3 linked regions of the Canis lupus familiaris genome follow. The protein of the gene in region 3 interacts with the protein of the main gene of each other region in a pairwise test. Links are inferred from orthologs where the notes say so. Each region holds a gene or a part of one and is shown on either strand. Other genes may lie near its edges.

Evidence for each region.
Region 1: the proteins of ATF4 (region 3) and EGLN3 interact in a two-hybrid assay, tested with the Homo sapiens proteins (2 studies listed by BioGRID). The link is inferred for Canis lupus familiaris from reciprocal best matches to the Homo sapiens genes ATF4 and EGLN3.
Region 2: the proteins of ATF4 (region 3) and CCDC106 interact in binary tests that used the Homo sapiens proteins (3 or more experiments, as listed by UniProt). The link is inferred for Canis lupus familiaris from reciprocal best matches to the Homo sapiens genes ATF4 and CCDC106.

What each region holds. Positions count from the first base shown.
Region 1 is NC_049229.1:13,056,933-13,060,675, forward strand, and holds the start of EGLN3 (prolyl hydroxylase EGLN3), read right to left. Parts: upstream 2,765-3,743; 5' UTR 2,429-2,764; coding exon 2,072-2,428; intron 1-2,071. UniProt on the Homo sapiens protein: Prolyl hydroxylase that mediates hydroxylation of proline residues in target proteins, such as PKM, TELO2, ATF4 and HIF1A. Target proteins are preferentially recognized via a LXXLAP motif.
Region 2 is NC_049222.1:102,860,796-102,864,538, reverse strand, and holds the start of CCDC106 (coiled-coil domain-containing protein 106), read left to right. Parts: upstream 1-1,413; 5' UTR 1,414-1,560; intron 1,561-1,978; exon of another isoform or gene 1,979-2,239; intron 2,240-2,308; exon of another isoform or gene 2,309-2,685; intron 2,686-2,814; 5' UTR 2,815-2,859; coding exon 2,860-2,890; intron 2,891-3,034; coding exon 3,035-3,142; intron 3,143-3,236; coding exon 3,237-3,413; intron 3,414-3,743. Other genes in the region: ZNF581 (zinc finger protein 581), read left to right, coding at 1-66. UniProt on the Homo sapiens protein: Promotes the degradation of p53/TP53 protein and inhibits its transactivity.
Region 3 is NC_049231.1:26,489,897-26,493,639, forward strand, and holds ATF4 (cyclic AMP-dependent transcription factor ATF-4), read right to left. Parts: upstream 2,472-3,743; 5' UTR 2,258-2,471; intron 1,650-2,257; 5' UTR 1,558-1,649; coding exon 1,332-1,557; intron 1,239-1,331; coding exon 412-1,238; 3' UTR 327-411; downstream 1-326. UniProt on the Homo sapiens protein: Transcription factor that binds the cAMP response element (CRE) (consensus: 5'-GTGACGT[AC][AG]-3') and displays two biological functions, as regulator of metabolic and redox processes under normal cellular conditions, and as master transcription factor during integrated stress response (ISR).

The sequences.
Region 1 (3,743 bases), on a different chromosome or scaffold from region 3:
TTATACAAACAAATCAAACTTTTTATCTTCGACTCTTAATAATTGTTGGCTCAAGTCTGGTTTACAGCTGGTTCCAGTTGGCCACGGAATAGCCCAACCTAGAGGTGATTTTTCTAAAGGACAGGAATGAAAAGCTTTGTGCCAAAACAGCTCAAGAAAAGCCAGAAATCTAGGTATGGACAAGAGATGACTTTTCTCCTTTCAATTCAGTCACCTTCTGAAAGGGTTAATTGAGAAGCTATTTGTTCTACCCAGAAGATAATCTATAACTGAAGAATCTTATCTAGAGATCTTTTTCCTTACCCAGACATACAGTGTTTCTCCTCCAGTCTGTGGAGTCAATTTATAGTCAAAGCTAAATACAAATACTTAACTTTCAAATTTGTTAGTGACGACTTTCTACCAATTAATCCTGACCTCCCTCTGAGCAAATTACGTTCCTAGAACGTTGGGGGTAAAATTCTTAGCACCTGAGTTGCAATGAAACTTGCAAAACTGATAAGAAGCCATCTGCTCTTCCAGACTGAGGCAACAAGCACTTCTGTAACACTGAGGCTAGCCCTCCCCCCCCCCCCCCGCCCCCCATTCCAGCCCCAGGAGGCAAGGTCATTCAGTGCAAAAACAAAACTAACCAAGACAAATGGCTTTCTAATCACTAAAATGATAAAAGAGTAAAACACTTCCATGTCAATCTTGTACAGAGTCCAGGCAGCTGAGTTTTCCCCAAATCAAAATAAAACTTAGAAAGCAGCATTTTCTCCCAAGATTTACTTTATTTGCGTCTGATTAACAAGTGCTTTCAGACATTCTATTCATGTCCTCCTGGCTTTGAAAGGCATATAGTCGTGTGTTTCTCCTCTACTCTGTTCCCCCACTCCAATGGGTCCTTTCTACCCATTTTCAGTCTTTCACTTGCCCTTTACTAAAAGTATCCCCTCGGTCTATGAGGCAAATGAGACAATAAAGGTATGTTTTATCAAAGGGTCGATCTAAACTGAGAAATGGTATAGATATTGTTAAAGATTGGTGCACCTTTCTTCTCATGCTAGCATGCCCTGCCTCCTCCTGTGCTAAAGTTTTCTACGGCTCTGGGTGCACCTTGACCAGTCTGCAATAAAAGTGCAAATCACTCGGAACTGCCACTGGAGAATGGCCGGGTTAGCATTTGTAGAAAAGGCTGAGTAGCTGGACTATCCCAAAGTAACATACACAGACCAACATCGTGGTACCACGGCTCCCATATTTCTGCCAATCTACCTGGAAACGTTTCCAAGATAAATTACCACCCAGGGAGTCACTTCTGGCTGTGGTGAACAAAAACAGGGTTTCTTTCCAGAGGTACCTGACTACACTCTCCCCATCACTTAACTGGTTGTTTTGGGTAGATTTCTCCACCAATGGATAGTTCGGAAAGGGAAGGTGGTGGCGTAGGGCTCAGCAGCAGGACAGATTTTGCTCAGCCAGGGAGCCCGTCTAGTAGTGTGCAACAAGCCAAGGGCAGCACCAAGCCAAGGGCAGCACTCAAAAGTGCAGACCAGCTTTACTCTCTCTCAGGTCAAACTTGGTCACATCTGCCAAACTCCACACACCAAATGTCACCCTGAAAAACATCACAACTGTCTCCAGAATTCTTTAAGAGGAATACCCTCTGAACACAGATGAGGTACAGTATTAGGGGACTTTTAAAGTGGACACATCTAATATCATGACTTCGCACGTGTCTCCCATCATACGCAATGTTTCCAATAACCTGTCCCTCATCTGGACCTTTGGGAACCTCCACGGATTAAAACCAGCCCAGAAAACCGCAGCTTGCCCGGTGTGTACCACCCACGAGACCCACTGTTTCAGTTAACAGAAGGTCATGGTAATCATACACCTGAGTCCCTCAGCACGGATTTTCGCTGGGAGGCGGGGTGGGGGAGGGGGACCCGGACTGACTTCTTGCTCGTCGGTTAAAAGCTAAAGTTCACTCGCAGCCCAGCGAAGGCAACAGACACGGGCTCCGAAGGTCCCCAGTCCCCGGGCGCTACGGCGGCGGCGGCGGCGGCGGGGAGCCCGCGCGTCCTACCTTGGACCTTTCCTTGACGTAGTATTTGCCCAGCCGGCTCCCGCAGTACAGGACGAGCCTGTCGATGAGCGACAGGAGGAAGCTGATGGCCTCGCAGCCCTCCTCGTTGCCCCCGATCCACGTGATCTGGTCGCCCCGCAGGTGCCGCTTAGAGACGCCGGCGCGCGGCCCCGCCAACTGGCCGTCCCGCAGGGCCCCGTTGCAGTGCAGCTGCTTGACGCGTTCCAGGACGCAGTCGCCCACCACCTCGCCGAGGAAGTTGTCCAGGTAGCAGAAGCCGACCTCGTGCAGACAGGGCACGATGTACTCCAGGGCGATTTTCTCCAGATCCAGCCTCATGATGTGTCCCAGGGGCATCTCGCCCTCAGAGCCAAGCTCGGGGATCCCCAGCGTGCACCGAGACCCGGAGCGACCTGCGCGCGCGCAGCCGAGGCGCGGGGAGCGCGGCCCGGGGTTCAGCTACCTGCGGCGGCCACGGTCCCCGAGCCACCGCCGCGCCAGGGAGAGGGGAAAGTTGTTCGAAACTCTGGGAGGCGGGATCCCTTCCCCTTCCGAGACCGGTGGGAGCTGCGCGGGGATCCACGACCTAGCGCCGGACTGGCCCAGCGAGGAGTCGGCGGGCCCCTTTTGGAGATGCGGAGCCGCCACTGGTGCCGCGGCGGCCCCAGGCGGGGAGAGGCGGAGGTCCAGCCCCGGAGCCGGCCGACTCGGCGCGTCACGGGCCCCGCCCCCGGCCCCGCCCCGGCCCCGCCCCGGCCCCGCCCCGGCCCCGCCCCGGCCCCGGCCCGCCCCAGGCCGCGGCTCCGCCCCGCCCCCCGGCCCCGCCCCCGGCCCCCGCCCCGCCCCCGGCCCGGCGCCCACTCCCCGACTACTGCTGCCCGGCGCCAGCCTCGGTTGTTTGTGACTAAAGGACTGGAAAACATACGGAATTTTTAGAATGCTACCGATTTGCATATGTTTTGCATAAAAGCCCATAACAAACTTGAAGGATCCCAACTCTGAAAATGTAAATGAAATTAGCACAGTTTACTGCCACGGTCTGGGCTGGTCACCTCTTGAACAGAATAACAAACTCAGAAACAGATACGTGTGTTGAACAGTGATCCAGGTCTAGCTTTACCTGGTGCCTTGCCTTATTCCTCTTTCATCTGCTGTTTGACCCAGGTCAGGAGACTCAAGCCACTCAGAGAGTGGGATAAATCCAGTTTAAACGAAAATTAAACATTCCCCTAACCCTCGTGTCCCCACCCCCACCCCCCAAAGCCCTGTGTCCTCTCCCTGGGGGGGGGGGGGGGGGACGGGAGAGAGGAGGAGGAGATGTGTACAATGAAGAAATGCTGGATATTATCTGATTGAACCCTGAAAATGCTGTATTTTGCTTCGCTGCATGTTTTCATCCACTTCTCTTTCAAGCTTCTTATTAAAATAGGATGTTCTGAACCTCTGCCTTCAGAATTAATCACATGCTCATGTAACAGCCATATAAGTATACCCCCCAAAAGACACACTAAATTCTAGTCTCCAATCTCACCTTTTCTCCAAGAAACTACACTTTACTCAGGAGGGATGGACACCACCTAAAAGACTTTTTTAGTTATTCAAAGGTAAGCTGATTGCTTTATGGGTTTTTCATTCCCTTTCCTACCAAACACCAGAGATTAGAATCAGGGGG
Region 2 (3,743 bases), on a different chromosome or scaffold from region 3:
CATTGCCCACGCCGATTTATGGAGCAGAACACGCTGCAAAAGCACACTCGGTGGAAGCATCCATGAGCCAGGCTGCAGGGTACCCCAGATGCCATGGTGTTCTGGGGGAACCTGGACTCCTGTCACCCTCAGACACCTGGCCAGTGCTGAGGGCTGGTTGCAGCCCTGGACAGGAACACAGACACACCTCCTGCAAAGGCCAAGCCCTGCCTGAAGGAGGAGCCCATGAGTAGCCTCTGTGTGGTGGAGATAAGATGGAAACTACACCTTGCATTCCAAGTGGAGCCCTCCAGCCTCAGGCTGAGCCCTGACCCGAGGTGTGGGGGGAGAGTGCTCCATGTGGAAGTCCTCCAGCTTGAAAGAGGTGGTTGGGAGCCATCAAGAATTTGCAGCAGCTTTCTGAGGCCTCCATGTTGATGCTGGGGGAAGGGGACCGGAACCACCTCCCAACCCCCAGCCAGGGCCTCAGATTGGATACCCAATAAACACCTTTCCCATTTTGAGCACTTGAGATTTGTTTTTGGGGACAGCAGCTTGACCTGCCTGCTGCCTAACAGACTCAGCAAGTGCCTGGCCCACCTCTTTTTGGGCAGAACAAGTCAGCCATTTATTTTCCCCAGAGAAGGAAAGAGTCTCCCACTTTCTGACCTCAAATAACACTAACAGGGCCCTGATCTTGAGCCTAGACCATTGCCACATGTTGGGCTGAGCATTTTGCATGGGTCCTACCAGTGCCTCCGCAGTGCTTGGCTTGCCTGGTGGCAGATGGGAGGTCAGCCTTCCGCAAGGGGTCAGTCCTAGTGTGGCTCCTCACAACGTGTATCACCTAAGCAGTGTTTTAAGCCTTTTTTTTTTTTTTTTAAAGCTAGGACCTATTGTAAGAAACATTTTATCTGGCAACCCAGTATAAGATACAAAAAATATATGTCAGACAAAACTTTAACAATACTTAATATCTGCCATATGCAGCTCACTTTTTTTTTTCTCTCCTGCCAATTCTGTCCTATTATACTGAATTCCCTGCCCATGAACCTGTGGTTTGCAAAACACGGATCTAGGGCAGGTGCCTCCCCCTGGACGTCCTGACCCAGGCTGCAATTTATCTATACTGTGAAGCAGGTAGGAGAGAAGGGTGGCCACAGCTTTCTAAGCGGTGCAAACATTTCAATTCTCTTTCTGCAAAGTTCAAGCCCTACTGTCATAGGGCTGGCAAAAATCCCAGGAGCAACTGGTGACCAGGCAGAAAGGCAGGGAGCAGAGCCGCAAGCTCAATAAACATCTGCCTTCTTAACGAATTTTCCTTGCGCGTCTGATTCGTGCCAGGCACTGTGCTGGGCCTCATTTCTTCTCCCGACCTCTTTTTCGGTGGAAGAACAAATTAGCCATCCCCACTCCCCAGAGAGGTAAAGAGCCTCCCACTGCCTGCCCTTAAATGACACCTCCAGAGCCCGGATCCTGATCCTGGACCATGGCCAGGCGCTGGGCTGAGCGCTTTGCCTGCACCTTCTCAGTACATCCTCCCAGCACACATAGCAGGATCCTAGCCTCCCGACTGCACAGGTGAGTAAACTGCACTCTCTTAGTACATCTTCCCAGCGCACCTAGCAGGATCCTAACCTCCCCACGGTACAAGGTGGGTAAACCGGGGCGGGGTCAGGTCCAAGTGCTCCAATGCCAGCTCAGACCCGCTACCACCTGGGCGATGCGGGTGCTGCTACAGGCCCATGCGTTCAGGGTCGGTCACGCTACTCCGCCCCCTCCCCGGTCCTAGGAGCCATCTGTGGGAGATGAAGGGGCGGGTTGCGCGGGTCCGTAAGGCAGTTCTCAAGGTGTCGGGTCTTAACTTTCCCGGTGCGTCGCCACCCACCCCGGGGATCCCGGAGCCGCTGCTCTCCAGGAATTGGGAATTTCTCGACGCACCCTGGCCGGGCTTCGCGGAGGGCGGGGTCGTGCGGCAAGGGGCCGTCGCGCAAGTGCAGCCCGCGCCTCTGCCGCAAACGGCAGGCCTCACCTGGGGCCAGAGGCTCCCGGAGAAGCGCGACGCCCCGCAGATCGGGAAGCGCCAGCGTCCCTGCCGCCTCCCACCGCCCCGAGGGAGACTGGCAGTCTCTGCCGTCCCGCCTGTCCGCGGCGGGTGGGCACTTCCCTCCACTCCCCGCGACACTTTGCAGACGCTCCCCGGCGCCGGGCATGGGCGCCGCCGCTGTCGGTCCCCTGGCCGGATTCCGCGCGCGGGTGGGTGAGCGCGGGGCTCTGGCCCCTCCGGCCCCGGGCAGCTGTGGGCGGGGGGTGGTGGCCGCCTCTGCACCCGGGACCTCGTGAATCTCCCGCTGAGACCCCCGGCCAACCTCGCTCCCCCTCCCACCCGGGGGACAAAGGGCGGGGGCGGGGGCGCATCCCCAAGCGTGACCTTCCCCAGCACTGCGCACGCGCCCCGCCCCCTCCACCACGGGGGAGGGGCCCTGCTCGCCCACACGAGTGCGGGGGAGGGTCGTGGGGAGGCGCAGCGCGTGGGATGGATCCCCGCCCCATGGCTGGAAGTTGGGGCACGGTCCCCTCCCTGCCGCGCCTCTCGCTTCTTTTGGCTCCGAGGTGACCCGTGATGAGGGGCCGCACCATCCAGGCCAGAAAGTCTCCGCTCGGGCGGCCCCGCGGGGAACCCACTCCTCCCCTCAGGAGCTCGAGGTCTGGGTGCCCAGCCCCCTAGTTCCCTAGAAACCCAGGACTGTGACACCCCAGGCGTTCCCCCTTATGCCACCCCTTCCCCACTTCCTCTGAGATGTGCCTCCATCTGCGGCTCTCCTTTCTGTCCAGTGCCCCTGAGGCGCTCAGCTGCCTGGGTCCACAGGAGGCCACGCCATGAATGACCCAAACAGCCGGAGGAGGACACGTGAGGAAGCTGGGACCCTGCCCCACCCTTGGAGCTCCCCTCCCTGTCCCCTACCACCCTGTCCCCTCCCTCACCGGGGCTGCTGTGGTTGGGGGCTGGTCCCAGGTGCCTTCCCTGGGGTGACCCCTGGCCTCTCCTCTCCAGTGAAGAAAGACGATGAGGCCTTCGAGATCTCCATCCCCTTCGATGAGACGCCCCACCTAGACCCACAGATCTTTTACAGTCTGAGCCCCTCTCGGGGAAACTTCGAGGGTGAGCTGGGGGCGGCGTGGAGGGACCCCAGCCGTCTGGGGTATAGGGCCCTGGAGGCCTTGGGTGTGACCAAGGCTCCCCCCCCTGTCCCTAGAGTCTCCGGAGGCCCCATCCCCGACAGTAGCCCTGATGAATGGTGTCAGGGCCCAGCTGCACATGGCCCTGGAGAGGAACTCCTGGTTACAGAAGCGCATTGAGGACCTGGAGGAGGAGAGGGACTTCTTGCGGTGTCAGCTAGACAAGTTTATATCCTCTGCCCGCATGGATGCAGGTCAGGTGCCTGAGGAGCTGGTCCCTCATGTCTGCTTTGGCCCTCCTCTGGGATTCATGACCCTTCCTCACCTACTCTTCTCCTTTGGCATCTTTTGTCCTTTCCCTGCTCCCCAGGCCATCTCCCAGACCCCAAAGATCAGCTTGCTTCCTTCCTGACTCCTGCCTTTGCTGATGGGCAGGACCCTGTGGCCATGTCAGGGCTTTCCTTTCCCAAATCTTTGGGAAGTCTAACTTCCCTGTTTTGGGGAGTCTAACTTCTCCCTTCTGCATGATGTTCAGCCCTTGCCTGGCTCTTTCCCAGGACTCCATATCCCCCTGTGAATCACCT
Region 3 (3,743 bases):
TTGAGCCCAGCACTGGCTAAGAATTTCTGCATCTCTTTAAAACTCCTTTAACAGTCCATTCCAAGAAAAACCCAAAGACCTTTTCTTTGCAGTTCCAGGATTGAGTTTACAGAACTTGAGTTCAAAGTGGAATTTAACCTTGTATGCCCAGGTGGGGCCTTACCTGGGTACTCAAGACTAGTCAGTGTTATGGCTTATGAGGCCACAGCCTCACCCCCAGAGTCTCCTGTGGAGGCCCTGAGCCCAACAGGATTGAGCCAACTCCACTTGACTTGGTCACCATCACCAGGGTAGAGATTAAGACAAGAAACCAGGTACACACGAGCTCAAGTACTTTCACTACAAAATAATTTATTACAACACAGCTTCAGCGCAAGCCTATGTACAAGCACACATTCCTGACACCCCCAACTAGGGGACCCTTTTCTTCTCCCTGGCCTTTCTGACCTCCTCTATCAAATCTTTCAGATACTGGATCTCCTTAGCTAAAGAATCTGCCCTCTCCTTCAGAGCCTCGTTCTTCTTTTCCAGTTCTTTACACTCACCAGTGAGGGCTTCCTGCTCTGCCCTCTTCTTCTGGCGGTACCTAGTGGCTGCTGTCTTGTTCTGCTCCATTTTTTTCAGTTTCTTATCTAGTTTCTCAACCTTTACTTTTGCGGTCTTCTCTCCAGGAGGGTCATAGGGTTTGGGGCGGGCAGAACCACAGAGGGAACCTGGAGACAGCAGGCTCCTATTTGGAGAGCCCCTGGAGGTAGAGGGGCTATGCTGGGGGGACCCAAGATAGGACTCAGGACTCATACAGATGCCACTGTCATTATCTGAGGGGGCATCTTCCTCCTTTATGCACTGAGGGATCACGGTAATGTAAGCAGTAGAATCTGACTTTCTATCTCCTTCAGAGATATCCACTTCACTGCCTAGCTCTAAACTAAAAGAATGATCTGGAGTGGAGGACAGGGCCCCTGGGGAGAGTGGAAGTGGTTGCAGAAAGGTAAAGGGGGCAATCTGGTCTGTTTTTGGTAAACTTTCTGGGAGATGGCCAATTGGGTTCACGATCTGAGGGGGCTCCTTATTAGTCTCCTGGACTAGGGGGTCAAAGAGATCACACGTGTCATCCAACGTGGCCAAAAGCTCATCTGGCATGGTTTCCAGGTCATCTATACTGAACAGAGTGTCAAAATCAAACTCCTTCAGATCCATTTTCTCCACCATCCAATCTGTCCCGGAGAAGGCATCCTCTGCAAAAGAGTCAAGAAGGAACCCGAGAGGTCAGACGCACACTTCAGCAACAGCCCGGAGACCAGACCCGGCGGCCAACGACCCCCACTCACCCTTGCCGTTGTCTGAGGCACTGACCAACCCATCCAAAGCCAGCCATTCGGAGGAGCCCGCCTTAGCCTTGTCGCTGGAGAACCCATGAGGTTTGAAGTGCTTGGCCACCTCCAGGTAGTCGTCTAAGAGACCTAGGCTTTCCTCAGCCCCCAAACCCGACTGGTCGAAGGGGGACATCAAGTCCCCCACCAACACCTCGCTGCTCAGGAAACTCATCTCGGCCATGTCGCGGGACTTTACTGGAATCGAGGAATGTGCTTAATTCGAAGGTGTCTTTGTCGGTTACAGCAACGCTGCTGCTGGATGCCGTGAAAAGCCTGAAACGGAAGCAGAAACCGAAACCCCTTCGACATCGGCCGGTCCGGGAAGCTCATCCCTTCCTCCCGGGGGCAGGACGGCCAGACTGGAACTCCACTCGGGAGCAGAGGCTCGGGGACACGTGGCCCCGGGGCCATGGCTTCCACCTTCCCCGCGGCCCCGTCGGGCCGCCCAAGATGGACGCCCTCGGGGCCGGGCCGCTCCTCCCCCCGCCGCCGGAGGAGGCGCGCCCGGCTCATGTCCAAATACGGCCCAGGCCGCCCGGCCCCGCCCACGGCCGCCCGTGACTCACGCTGCGCCGCCGCCGCCCTGCCCGGCCGCCATCTTGGCCCCTGCCACGTTTCGCGGGGGGCCGGGCGGGAAGCCGTCGGGGGCCGCGGCCGGGGCCGGGGCCGCCGAGGGCTCGCTTCTCCCCGCCGGGCCGCACTCTCCTGACCCAGAAGCGTCGGCGTCTCGAGGACACCCAAACAGGGGCCACGCGTCCCGGGCGCTCGTAAAGCCGCTTCCCCCTACGCGGCACCGCCCCGCCCCGCCGCAGGCCGCGCCCAGGCGGGCCGACTGCCCTCGCCGACCCGGGGGAGCACGGCGCGGGCGGCCCCGTACTTACGCCATGGCTTAAGCCGCTGGGGGGTGCCGCTGCAGAGCCTGGTGCTGCTGCCGCCGCTGCAAAGGCCAATGCTGCCGCAGGCACTGCTGCCTCTAATACGCCATGGCGGCCGCGGACCCTGGGGGATTGGAGGAGGGAAGGCGCACGCTTGCCACAGGGATCTACATCTACAGGCGGGAGGAAGGGAAATGGCCGCGCCGCGCCGATCGAGGGTCCTTTATAGACTTTGCCTCTATGAGGACGCATCACACCGCACATCCTTCCGCCGCGGTCACGTGACCCGCGCCTCCCACCCACCCGTCTTCGCGATCCGACGCCCCTATCGTGTCCGACCAGCGACTTTTAGGTCCACGGCGTAGCTGTGAAGAGAAGAGTTGTTACTTCCAACGTCTCGAGAAAGGAAAAAGGCGCGCTACTTTGCAAGGCTACTAAGATCAAAGAGCCTCTCCTCCCTCTGCCGCCGGGAGCGCGGAGGGATTCCTCAGACACACCTCGCTTCCGGCGTCAGCCTGGGGGGCGGGGAGAGAAGTCTTTCACCTCAAGGAAGGTTTTTATTGTGAAGTCAGAGGCCGCCTGGTTATCGCGCGAGATGCTGGCGGAGAGCGAGCGTCGAGCTGATTGGTTAGACATGGTGAGTCATATATATCTCGGTTTCCTATTGGCTCAGACCCCGGGATGGGCGGGCCGCTCCGAGCGGGAGGCCGGGTCCGAGCGGGAAGGGGCGGAGCGGCCAGCGGGGTTCCCGCCGCCGGGCTGTGTCCTCCGTGGCCGCGTCTCGGTGAATCCGCTCTGTAGTGGCTTCTTGAGCCTGGCGTACGCGAGGCTGTCCGAGACGACCCTGGCTCCTCCCCCGGGCTTCTGGAGCCCGAGGAGTCCCAAACGGCGACATCAGGCCCTGGCCCCTGTGGTCCCTTCCTGCCACCCTCCGTCCAGCTCCGAATTAGAGACCCAAGTTCAGGCCCGAGATGAAACTAGGCAAAAGGAAGTGGAATTTCGGGTGCGTTTTCATCACACGCAAGCACCGAAGTAGCTGAAAGGGGAGACTGAGGGCCTCAGTCGGGTTCTAAACGCTCCCCACACACCGTCAGGGGCCAACGCCGCGTCCTTCCCGTGAACTCTCCAGTCCGGTCGGGAAGGTGCACAATCTAGCCCAGTTAGTGACTCTCGCATACCGGCCTGCCAAAACGTTTCTGTTAAAAGTATGCAGTCTATCACAGGGAACTTCTTTTGGTTTATACAGATGCAGTTCCCCTAAGAGATTTTGTTAAACTGGTATCTGTCCCTCTCCCAATTCTGCAACCTGGTGGGGGGAGAATCTTGAGCACCCACGCCCACTCACGGAGGTTTGGAGGTTCGTGTTTGGAAGCGGCGGTCCAGGTCAAGGCCTGCAACTTGCTCTCCACCGGAGAGCTGTGAAGAGTGCCGGGAAAGGTCTCCACTATCCTCCGTCTCCTTCAGGCCCCTGGAGGGCAGAAACCTTGGAGTT